Linked DNA regions of Danio rerio. The protein of the gene in region 2 interacts with the protein of the main gene of each other region in a pairwise test. Links are inferred from orthologs where the notes say so. Each region holds a gene or a part of one and is shown on either strand. Other genes may lie near its edges.

What was found.
Region 1: the proteins of lrp2b (region 2) and mapk8ip2 interact in a two-hybrid assay, tested with the Homo sapiens proteins (2 studies listed by BioGRID). The link is inferred for Danio rerio from reciprocal best matches to the Homo sapiens genes LRP2 and MAPK8IP2.
Region 3: the proteins of lrp2b (region 2) and mapk8ip1a interact in a two-hybrid assay, tested with the Homo sapiens proteins (2 studies listed by BioGRID). The link is inferred for Danio rerio from reciprocal best matches to the Homo sapiens genes LRP2 and MAPK8IP1.

The regions. Positions count from the first base shown.
Region 1 is NC_133193.1:9,483,992-9,488,440, reverse strand, and holds the start of mapk8ip2 (C-Jun-amino-terminal kinase-interacting protein 2), read left to right. Parts: upstream 1-1,643; 5' UTR 1,644-1,984; coding exon 1,985-2,049; intron 2,050-4,449. UniProt on the Homo sapiens protein: The JNK-interacting protein (JIP) group of scaffold proteins selectively mediates JNK signaling by aggregating specific components of the MAPK cascade to form a functional JNK signaling module.
Region 2 is NC_133187.1:17,725,077-17,728,733, forward strand, and holds part of lrp2b (low-density lipoprotein receptor-related protein 2), read left to right. Parts: intron 1-77; coding exon 78-200; intron 201-308; coding exon 309-425; intron 426-2,713; coding exon 2,714-2,824; intron 2,825-2,943; coding exon 2,944-3,057; intron 3,058-3,657. UniProt on the Homo sapiens protein: Multiligand endocytic receptor. Acts together with CUBN to mediate endocytosis of high-density lipoproteins. Mediates receptor-mediated uptake of polybasic drugs such as aprotinin, aminoglycosides and polymyxin B.
Region 3 is NC_133200.1:14,745,933-14,749,589, reverse strand, and holds part of mapk8ip1a (C-Jun-amino-terminal kinase-interacting protein 1a), read left to right. Parts: coding exon 1-61; intron 62-220; coding exon 221-390; intron 391-1,404; exon of another isoform or gene 1,405-1,759; coding exon 1,760-1,863; exon of another isoform or gene 1,864-1,986; coding exon 1,987-2,103; exon of another isoform or gene 2,104-3,657. UniProt on the Homo sapiens protein: The JNK-interacting protein (JIP) group of scaffold proteins selectively mediates JNK signaling by aggregating specific components of the MAPK cascade to form a functional JNK signaling module. Required for JNK activation in response to excitotoxic stress.

The DNA.
Region 1 (4,449 bases), on a different chromosome or scaffold from region 2:
AGTTTTTAATATTTTTAACCCCATTTAAAGGCCAAAATTATTAGCCCCTTCAAGCTATTTTTGTTTTCTATAGTCTCTAGAACAAACCATCACTATACAATAATTCACCTAATTACCATAACCTGCCTAGTTGACCTAATTAACCTAATTAAGCCTTTAAATGTCACTTTAAGCTGTATAGAAGTGTCCTGAAAAATATCTTCTCAAATATTATTTACTGCTTTCATGGCAAAGATAAAATAAATCAGTTACTAGAAATGAGTTATTAAAACTATTATGTTTAGATATGTGCTGATAAACTCTTCTCTCTGTTAAACAGAAATTGGGAGAAAAAATAAACAGGGGGGCTGATAATTCAGGGGGGATAATAATTCTGACTTCAACTGTATATCGTTATTGTTTAGTATGGAGTATAATAATCAAAACTGCATTTTTGCCATATTGTTGAGCCCTAGTTTGTGTTTAATACTTTGATCAATAAATGGTTTTCATAAAGGAAAAGGTTTTTATTTTTATGCTTTTTATGCTTTGATAAGGCTAGCTGGGTAAAAAAGAGAAAAAAACTAGAATTTACCTGCTTTTATTATATTTATGCTATAACTTTGCAGCATATATAGTTATTATAATGAGAGATTATTAATTTAGTAAAAGAATTTAATTTAATTTTTGTAAAGGAGAAAGCGTCCCCAATTGTAATCCAATGTTGGGTCAAATATGGTCAAATCGAACAATTTGTTTAACTCAACGGTTGTACAAGAACCCAACATTTATTTTATGCTGTATGTTTTTTTTTTAATTGCTTGAACTGACTATAACAGAACATCAGAAAAAAGTCCAAGGGATTATAGATCTTAGAAAAGGTCAATAATATACAGCCATAAGAGAAAAATATATATAATCACAAATAACATTAGACAGAAAGGGAAAAAATTAAATATAATAATTACAGCAATACTACTACTACTACTACTACTACTACTACTACTAATAATAATAATAAAATTAATAATAATAATAATAATAATAATAATAATAATAATAATAATAATAATAATAATAAAAAAACATACACAAAATAGTAAATCAAACAAAAATAAACAAATGAATGAAATTACAATGACACTTAAAAAAATAACCATAAGGAAAGCAGCTAAAATCAAGGATCTTCTTTAAATAAATCTGTATAATATTTCAGGAATCTTAGTTTTTTTATTATTTTTTATTCTTAATAAGATGAAGTGATTTTAGGAGGGAGTTAAATTCTATTATAAAAATGAGCAAAGGATAGGTAATTATTTGCAAATTTTTCTTTTAAAAATGTTTTGGGTTATTATAATAAAAAAATTATGTATTTTGGACTAAAGCATTTCACAGCATTGGCAAATATGAGAAATTAGGAGTGACCAAAACTGCTTGTAAATTGGACAATCAAAAAAAATAACCTATATGCTAATGTCTCCTCTGCTTGTTTGCAGATAGAACAGGAGCTGTCAAGAATTTTATGGTGTATGAATTCGAACTAAAACTAATAACTAATCAAACTGACCAATCAGTGACAGCTTCTGATATCTAAGCCACTCCCATTTATTCCATCAGTTTCATGTTCGCCGTCATTCTACTCGCTCGTTCTGTTTCTGTGCCTCATGCACGCGCCTCTGCCTCCTCAGCATCAGCATCATCAGATGCGCGCAGATCACGCCAAACAGCGCACTGGTTTACCAGCAGGTGTGTGTGAGCGAAACACAAGATAATCGATATCTATACATCGCCACCTATGTGTGTTCTTGATATCTGACTCGCATTTCTTCGGATCAGCGATTGGACCGTTTTGATGGTTTGATTCCCAGCGGGCGTTATCAGTCAGCGTGGCCGCGAAAAGAAGACGGAATCAAGCGAGATCATATTTAATATCCGCCTCTCCAGCGTCTGTGGATGGGCTGCGGACATCTGCATCTGCAGTCTCTGTTTTTGAGTCACTAAGAAGATGGCGGACAGGGCAGAGATGTTTTCTCTCTCCACCTTCCACTCCCTCTCTCCTCCGGGATGCAGGTAAGACGCGCAAATGCTTCTCTGGGGCGCGCGCGGGGTTTCCGCTGCTTCTGCCGTATATTTATTCATATAATCGGCTCTTATGTGATCGTTAACGTAGCGCTAATGTCCTCAAGCACATTCAGAAATTAGCATCAGCATCATCAGCATCCGCAAGCAGTGATCCTTAGCATCCTCTGTTTGTTGATGTGCATAAACAATAACGCCCTTGTTGTTGTTTTTTTAATCATCATTATTATAGTTGTCGTTTGTGGCACGGATGCGTTGTGTATATGTGTAAATGACGCGCTTGTGACATGAAACTAAGCGAAGGACAAGCGATTGATTTTTGTTCCTTTTTTTTTCTGCCTGGCATGTCATTGCCTGACGCATCCTCTCTCTGAGATAGTTGGCATATACTGGAAAGACCCACGCCCTGTTGTGATGCTCATAACTGCATTTTAATCCGTGATCACATATTTTAATGTTCTTATAATTATGTAATTATACAGGGCTGAGTAACACTATTGAACAGTCCTCAAATTGTGATGCGGAGCTGCTTGTAATTGCACATTGTTATCGGTATAACTGTAATAATTGTGCTGGGGAAAAGGGTATTTATTTACATGTTAGTTGTGATCATGTTTTGTATCATAATTTACTTCCATCTACAAAAAAGTTTAATGGGATGTTTTGTAGCACTTTTAATCTGCTAATAGGGTAAAATACATGTGTAACTTGACTACGTTGTCAAAAAAAAGAAGCATAACATGTATAATGTCCTACGACTGGATCTTGTTAAATCAAGCTGGTTTGTGGATTTGCTGTATACAACATGTATACAACATATGCCAGAGTAGTTGGCGGTTCATTCCGCGGTGTTATTTCCTGATAAATCAAAGCGAAGGAAAATGAACGAATGTTTAATTAAAATTACAGAAGTTTTCCAACTTTAAAGCACAATGCATAATTCAAAATATTGGAAAACACATGCAAATAATAATATTCAACTATTCATTAATATAGTTCCTTTATTAATCCGGGGTCGCCACAGCGGAATGAACCGCCAACTTATCCAGCACGTTTTTACGCTGCGGAGGCCCTTCCAGCCGCAACCCATCTCTGGGAAACATTCATACACTCTAATTTACACTGATACACTACAGACAATTTAGCCTACCCACTTCGCCTGTACCGCATGTCTTTGGACTGTGAGGGAAACCGGAGCACCCGGAGGAAACCCACGCAAATGCAGGGAGAACATGCAAACTCCACATAGAAATGCCAACTGACTCAGCTGATGCTCGAACCAGCAACCTTCTTGCTGTGAGACAACATCACTACCTACTGCACCACTGCGTGGCCTAATATTAATATTCCTAAATGTATTTTTGATTGCATAGAGTGCATGGTGGGTATTTCTTGGCACCTGATTGTATTTCTTATATAAAATACATAAATGTATATGCACCTATAAACTTGTCAGTGCTGCCTTGTGGCTTTTCAGTGGCAAGACTATATTATGGATAGTCTCATGACATTCCTCAATAGTGAGGTAATAAGCTCTTCTCGAAGCAAATGCTGTTTTGGACTGTTTTACTCACAGGGCCGTTTATATCGAAGTTGATATCTAGCTGTATCATGTTGTTTCATTCATTTATTAATTTTCTTTTCGGCTTACTTCATATATTAATCAAGGGTTGCCACCGCAGAATGAACCGCCAACTTATTCAATTTAATTTATCTTTATTTGTATAGCGCTTTTACAATGTAGATTGTGTCAAAGCAGCTTCACATAGAAGATTATAGTGAATTGAAACCGTGTCAGTTCAGTTTTCAGAGTTTAAGTTCAGTTCAGTTTAGTTCAGTTCAGTGTGGTTTAATATTCACTGCTGAGAGTCCAAACACTGAAGAGCAAATCCATCAATGCGCACCTCTACAAATCCCGAATCATGCAAGCCAGTGGCGACTTATTTAGCATATGTTTTACGGAGCGGATGCCCTTCCAGCCACAACCCAACACTGGGAAACATCCATACACTCTTGCATTCACACACATACACTGCGGCCGATTTAGCTTATTCAACATCTAACTTTTACAAGGTGTGTTGTTAGCCCAACGCTCAACCCCTAACCTGGAGGACCAGGACATACACTATGGACATTTTAGCTTACCTAATTCACCTATAGCACATGTCTTTGGACTGTAGGGGAATCCGGAGCACCCAGAAGAAACCCAGGCCAACACGGGGAGAACACGCAAACTCCACAAAGAAATGTCAACTCGAACCAGCAACCTTCTTGCTGTGAGGCGACAGTGCTACCCACTGTGCCGCCACATGTTTTATACACTGTATCAGTGGTTTAAGCAGCTATTACTAGCTCTAAAATTACATTTTGGAATTAGAAACAAAGATTTAA
Region 2 (3,657 bases):
ATGTGATGATGTGATGTCAAAGCATTTGTTTAATGCAAATACATTTATTATTATAATTATTTACCTCGTTCTTTTAGCATTACCCACCTGTAGCTCTCAGGAGTTCAAGTGTCTGACAGGAGGAGAGTGCATTCCTCTTGAGTTTGTATGTGATGGAGAAGCAGACTGCGCTGATGGCTCTGATGAGCAAAGGACCTGTAGTATGTCTACATAATTAAAATTTGGTTAATTCCGTTAAAAATAAGAAATAATATATATAACACATATAACACAGACAGTCTATGACCCCACCTTTTTTATTTTTTAAGGTGGTCAGACGTGTAGTCCAGACCAGTTCACATGTAGAGAAGGGCAGTGTATTCCCAAACAATACAACTGTGACCATGTGCCAGACTGTGTGGATAACTCTGATGAGAACAACTGCAGTAAGAACCTTTCTTCCCATTTACTATTCCTCTGTAGCAATGTGGATTTTAAACAACAGAATGTAGTAATTATCAAATCAGGCAAGTCTAACATATTTTGTAATTATTTAATTTTATGACTGTAATGAAACTCATGACTTATAGGGGTCTTTAGTAGATATGTGCTTTGTGAATTTTTAATTACTTTCAAACATTTAAATTAGGTGTTGTTTAACTGAGCAAGCACATTTTCACAGTATTTTACAGATTTTCCCCCATTGGCCACAGAACAGGCTCTGGTTGTTGAATGACTTAATCTAACTTGCCTAATTTACACCTTGTTGTACCCTTAAGCTAAATGCTTGTATCTTGATAATTTACTTGTAATATATTATGTATACTGTCATCAGAGCAAAGACAAAAGTAATTAGCTATTAAAAAATTATTTAACTATGTTTAAAAATGTGTTGAAAACTATGTTTGCTCCATTAACCTCATGTCGTGTTCACATCCCGGCGCTTACTTTAGTGTTCCAGGTCAAAATTGAGCAGTCTGTTTTAACTGCTTTTATATTAGCACAAAAAAAACATTTTTCACCACTTAATTTTTATTTAACATTCTTGACCTGTGAACAATGTCTCAAAGTAGTGTTTAACATTAATTGAAAAATTTAGATATAAAATAACTGCAGTGAAAATACAATTAAGCACTGAATGTATTACAAAATTTCCCAGAGATGGGTTGCGGCCGGTAAGGGCATCTGCTGCGTAAAAACGTGCTGGATAAGTTGGCGGTTCATTGCACTGTGGTGACCCTGGATTAATTAAGAGACTAAGCCGACAAGAAAATGAATGAATGTATTACAAAATAAACAATCAATGACAGAAACTAAAATACTTTGTTTCATTACTAATAGACAGCTAACTAAGAAACTAGCAGCGTTTGACCAAAGAAATTTAAATTTTAATTAATCTGTATGATTTACCAAGCAGCAAAGCACAAAGAAAGCGGCATACTTTCCTGTGTATTGAGTCCTCAAAATTTTATTCAGTCCTTCAATAGGACAACATTAGTGCACTAATATAGGGATTAGTGACTGAGGGTATAGACAGTGAGCATGGACACAGAACTAGCACTAGATGTACTTTGGTCATTTTTGAGCGAGATTCTAATGGTCTAATCCAATAAAATAATGGATGCTAAGCTTAGCTAAAAGTGCTCCTGCTACACCCAGAGATAGGGTGAACAAAGAAAGAAAGAAAGAAAGAAACAAAGAAAGAAAGAAAGAAAGAAAGAAAGAAAGAAAGAAAGAAAGAAAGAAAGAAAGAAAGAAAGAAAGAAAGAAAGAAAGAAAGAAAAGAACACACAGATGGGTTTACATTACAATTGCTTTATTAGAAAAATGATTTGCGTTTGAGGATCCATTGCTTTCTCAAGGCAAATCACTTACTGTTCAGTCTGAAATGTGTGTGTAGGTGAGTGAGTGAGTTGGGGTGGTGTGTATAGGAATGCTTTCTCTCTGATGGATGAATATAGTCTGGACACCCATTTATTTTCTGTTACGGTCAATTTTGATCGGGAACACCACTGGTGTAACAATTGATTAAAACACTTCAAATTGAATGAAAGAGATGATCTGCACTTCAAGTGCATAGCATGGAGGATATCATAAGGCCTTGAGGCAATCAGATGTAAAAGACAATATTTCTGAGTGTTTTAAGCATAAAATAAGATTTGACTCAAGCACGACAAAAGGTTAAATAGCAAAATGAATTAAAAATTCACAGAAAAACTGGTAATTTAGCTCTCATCTCTATAACAAAACTCTATAATAACTATTTATTTCAGTCTAGACCTGTAATACATAAAAAAATAAATACAAATATTTATTACTTTTAGCAATTTGCTGTTTACCATTTCTCAGTAACAATACAGACTGTAAATGTGTAGTTAAAAAACATGACCAGAATATCAGAACATAAAAGATTACTGCATTATTATCATTTTATATTACTTTTATAGTCAAAAGTAAATTCGAATCTTTTACACCTAAACTAAATTGCAACATGTCTGTCACAAAGGTTAAAATACTGTAAAGTAACCTTTACCTTAATGGTTAAAGTAAAGTAACGTTATCTTTACAAGAAAAAAGCATATGACTACTAGCCATGGTCCAGTACACATAAAAATCTCAAGATAAATCAGCTACCAAAATGACACGAGAACACTGTTGGGTGACGTAAAATTCATTCATATTCAGATTTTGTAATTGCAATAAAATGCATCAAATTTCTTCTCATTTATTCCAGATTACCCAGCCTGCACAGAGAAGACATGTGCTAATGGCGCTTGTTACAACAATGCTCAACACTGTAATGGGATACTAGATTGTCGAGATGGATCAGATGAATCCAACTGCAGTGAGTTGTAATAGTTATTAATTAGAGATGCCAGTGAATAGAGTTAAGATGTATATTTAGGATTTTACGTTGCTGTCATTTCCTTTCATATATGTTTTTGTCCTTCATCTCTGAAACAGCAAGGCATTGTCAGTCACATCAATTTGAATGTGCTAATGGATTCTGCATCCCAATGCCCTTTGTCTGTGATCACTGGGATGACTGTGGAGACAATAGTGATGAGCAAAACTGTGGTGGGTTCCATATTTTTTTTAACATATTCGACCAAAGCTGCTGATGTTACACTGAGATTATTTTTCAGGAAAATGAATGTTCATTAAAGGAGTCAAAATATCCTGATATGATTTAAAACTGTGTCACAAAAATGAGGTGGGACTGGATAGAAATGCATTTATTGATAATAATTATAATTTATTGATTTAGATACAAACCACTAATACAAACCACATTAATCTTTAGTAATATGTGATTTTGAAACATTGCTTTGTAAAGCTTCATAATTTTGCAAATCTTTTGTTTGAATCCCGTGATTCAATTCCAGGTAAATGGATTCACATCTCTGTATTTTTCAGTTAAATATATTCAAGTGTGATGTTTGATGATCAAATTTTGGGAGAAGAATGAGCAGATGTTTTGACGAGGATAATTCATCATTGACAATTATTCCACTATCCAATCTGCATAAATAATCCAGCATATCTCCATTTTCTCTCGAATTTGGCATCCCTCTACCACTCCGATTGGGGGGTTGGGGTGGTGGGGGTTACTCCTACAGTATCTCTCTCCCTTACAACAAGGGGAATAACCCTGGTTATAGTGTCTTTCAGTCCAAA
Region 3 (3,657 bases), on a different chromosome or scaffold from region 2:
GATTCTTCTCCTGCGTTATTAATGGAGAGGAAAGAGAACAGAGCCACAGAGCGGTGTTCAGGTAAGCGTTCAAACAAATCCTTAGTGCTTTGTTTTGAAAAAATAGAAATAAAGTAGCCATGTTACATAAAAGGGATATTGAAATATCATGACCAAGAAAGTTTCGGGATTAACTTAATATTTTCAATAATACGATTATCAATCGTTTGCTTGATTGCAGATTTGTTCCTCGTCATGATGATGAGTTGGAGTTAGAAGCGGACGACCCATTACTAGTGGAGTTGCAGGCTGAGGATCTGTGGTGCGAGGCCTATAACATGCGCACCGGAACCAGAGGCATCTTCCCTGCTTTCTATGCCGTCAAGGTGGCAAAGGATGAACTTGTTAAAGGTAAATCTTGCTTTTACTGTAGCATTTACAGGGTGTCTAAAAGTCTTAAAATGTCTTAAATTTCAATAGTCTTAAAGATGCAGTATGCACGTTTGACACCCAGTGGTTGATCTGGGTATTGCACTCGGGAAAGCACACACAAGCGCAGGTTACCAGATTCACGACACCAACAGGAGTGTGCCTGAATATAGAGCCCAATGGCTCATTTAAGGCTGATTTAACCCATGTTCTAAAAAAAACACGTGATAGAAAGAATATTGCATATTAAAAAAAGATTTTGTTCTAGCCAACACCCGAAATCTATATTTTAGATATGGCTTTATTTTCTTGCAGCTGAACAACTGAAAACTGACAATAATCACCTCAGGTACACATCATGTGCTTTATTTGGTGTTAAATGCTAACAATATGAGTTTAAGTGGCATTATATGTGACATTTATTGCCATACTACTGAAAGCAGCAGCAGATCTCAGATCCTGAAAACAAAATAAACAGTTTTAAATTGAACTTTTGAAGTGTGACTTAGTGAAAGCCAACTTGTATTAGTGATTCAGCATGTACATTAGTAGTGTTAAAGAGGTTTAATATGTATTAATTAGATTATAAACCTTACAATTTTATTGGAGTGCAGTGAGTGCACTATTCTTTGCTTCTGAATGGCTGTATTTAAATTTCAGTTGTGTTTTATCCGGTGCAAACAGCCACATTGCTAAATCATTGCAAATCTCAACACGTAGCTTGTTGTTAAGGCACGGGTTACAATGTAACCTGCTCACCTAATGTTTATGTTTGTTATATTTATATTATATGCTAGTTAATAGGCATGTATGTTCCTTAAATATTTGCAAACATATTATGGTATTTTTATGCTTAAGAAGCATCAAAAATTTGCTTACAGCACCTTTAAATTTACTGAATATTAAGTAGTAGGTCTTTAATCATTGTAAACAGGCCTTGATTTTCCTATGTCCAAGTAAAGCTACCCTATCGGGCTGACAAACAATCACCAATAATCCATCTTAAAACGTTTTATGTATATATTTAAATTTATTATTACAAAGAGATACAATTCACAACTGCTGTTAGACATCATACAGCAAATTAAACTTCCTAATCTGAGAAGAAAACAAAAGCAACACATCCCTTTACATGATCTTCCATTAATACAAAAACTATTTACAGAAGTAAGCAGGCCATTCGAAAAAATCCTAGGTGTTTAACCCTGTATAAGTCTAAAATATAATTCGTAACGGTCTTAAAAAGTCTTACATTTGACTTGAAGAAACCTGCAGAAACCCTGACTTACAAGAATTTGAGATTTTGTGCATTTAGTAATGATTACTTCTTTTGTCTGCTGTGATTCATTAGAGGTCAAAGGTGACTGGATGGACAAATTCTGGGTGAAATTTCTTGGTTCTGTTCAAGTGCCGTATCACAAAGGGAACGATGTGCTTTGTGCCGCAATGCACAAGGTACTAATCCAATTCTGTGTTATGACTCTGGCTTGGATGTTCATATATTTACATAATGATTGCAGTGGTGCATGTTGTTCATATGTAATCTGATGTTCGCTTGCGATCTGATTATGTCAACAGATAGCATCAAACAGACGAACAACAATGCAGTTTAGCCCTCCTTCGCCTTGCATAGTGGAAATCAACACAAGAGGATTGAAAATCGTTGTTCAGGACGACTGCCGCACTTCTGGAAGGGTTTGTAGATGACTCAAATTCTTTCTGATGTAATAAATATTCAATATATATATGGGTTGCAACAATAACAGCCTGAGGTGTCAAGACATTTGTGCTGCCTGTTACTTTACAAACCACAGGATAGGGCAAATTATTCAGCAGGATAGAGCTCCTTCTCATACTTCTCATACCCATAAAGCAAAAAAGGTCAAGGTGCTCCAGATTGGCCAGGCAAGTCACCAGAGATGAACGTTATTGAGCATGTTTGGGGTAAGATAAAGGAGGAGGCATTAGAAATTAATCTTGAACTCTGGGAGTCCTGCAAGAACACTTTCTTTGCCATTCTAGATGACTTTATTAATAAGTTATTTGAGTGATTGCAGAGATGTATGGATGCAGTCCTTCAAGCTCATGGGAGTCAGACACAATATTAATTCTTTTTCCACTGCAGCATGACATTATATTCTATATTGTACATTATTTCTGTTAAGTGACAAGACTTTTGTCTAAGCAAAGTCAGACTTTACTGTTCTATTTAAATAATTAAAAATCGAGGCATGATCATATTTTATTTTGGTAAAATAAGCGTAATCTAGAGACATTGTCTTTCATATAAGCCACTTCTGAGACCAAATGATCAACTAGAAGTCAAGTTATTATGTCTTGTTCTTAAATTTGGATAGGCACAATACTTTTGTCAGGTAGTGAATGTGTGATTCTTCAAATATGCGTTTCTAGAAATTTAATTAAGTTTAAATTTAATTCAATTAAGATGGGATATTTTAAACTGAACATTGCTTCCCACATGTTTGAAATATACTTGCAGTGGTAGCCGGATTGAAATACACTTTTTACCCACGTCACATAAATTAGTATATACTATATGCGACAAACAAAACATAACTACATTTAACAATATTTTATTTATTAAGGAACTGTTATACACTGTTTCTTTTAATAGGTTAAAGTTTTTAAGGAAATCCACAATTTCATGCAACTTTTATGCTAGTCGGGAGCATTTTGTTCAGTATTGCCAAAGCATATTAGATCTATAAAATATTCACTATATTAACATCATCAAATTAATAAAATATACAGCAAATAAGAAATAAATTACAGAAAAAAAGAAATAAAAACAGACAATATCTCTAAAAATGATAACAATTACAAGAATAAACGTGTAGATTATTTCAAGTTGATTAGCCATTTTTAATAGTGTACAAATGTTTTGCAGCCAATTTACATCTAATTTCGTCCTCTCCGACTGAGACATTAAGATTAAAGAATTAATTATTTAATGTCTCTCTCACGGTTGTGCACAAACAATTGATGACAGCTTTAGAAAGCGGAACCAAAAGAAATCCCGGAAATTTTAGGAGATTTTCAAAAATGTGTGTCAATAAATATACTTTGGGAGCTGTTAATATACCTGGGTGGCCTGCCTAAGTAAAGTTTATGTGTGGGAAGCACTGCATTCTAAACCCTTTCAGAAATAATACAAATATTTATGTTAAATCTGTTGTTTTCTACCAAATTCAATAGTAAGCATCATTATCGATAAACATGTTATGAAAA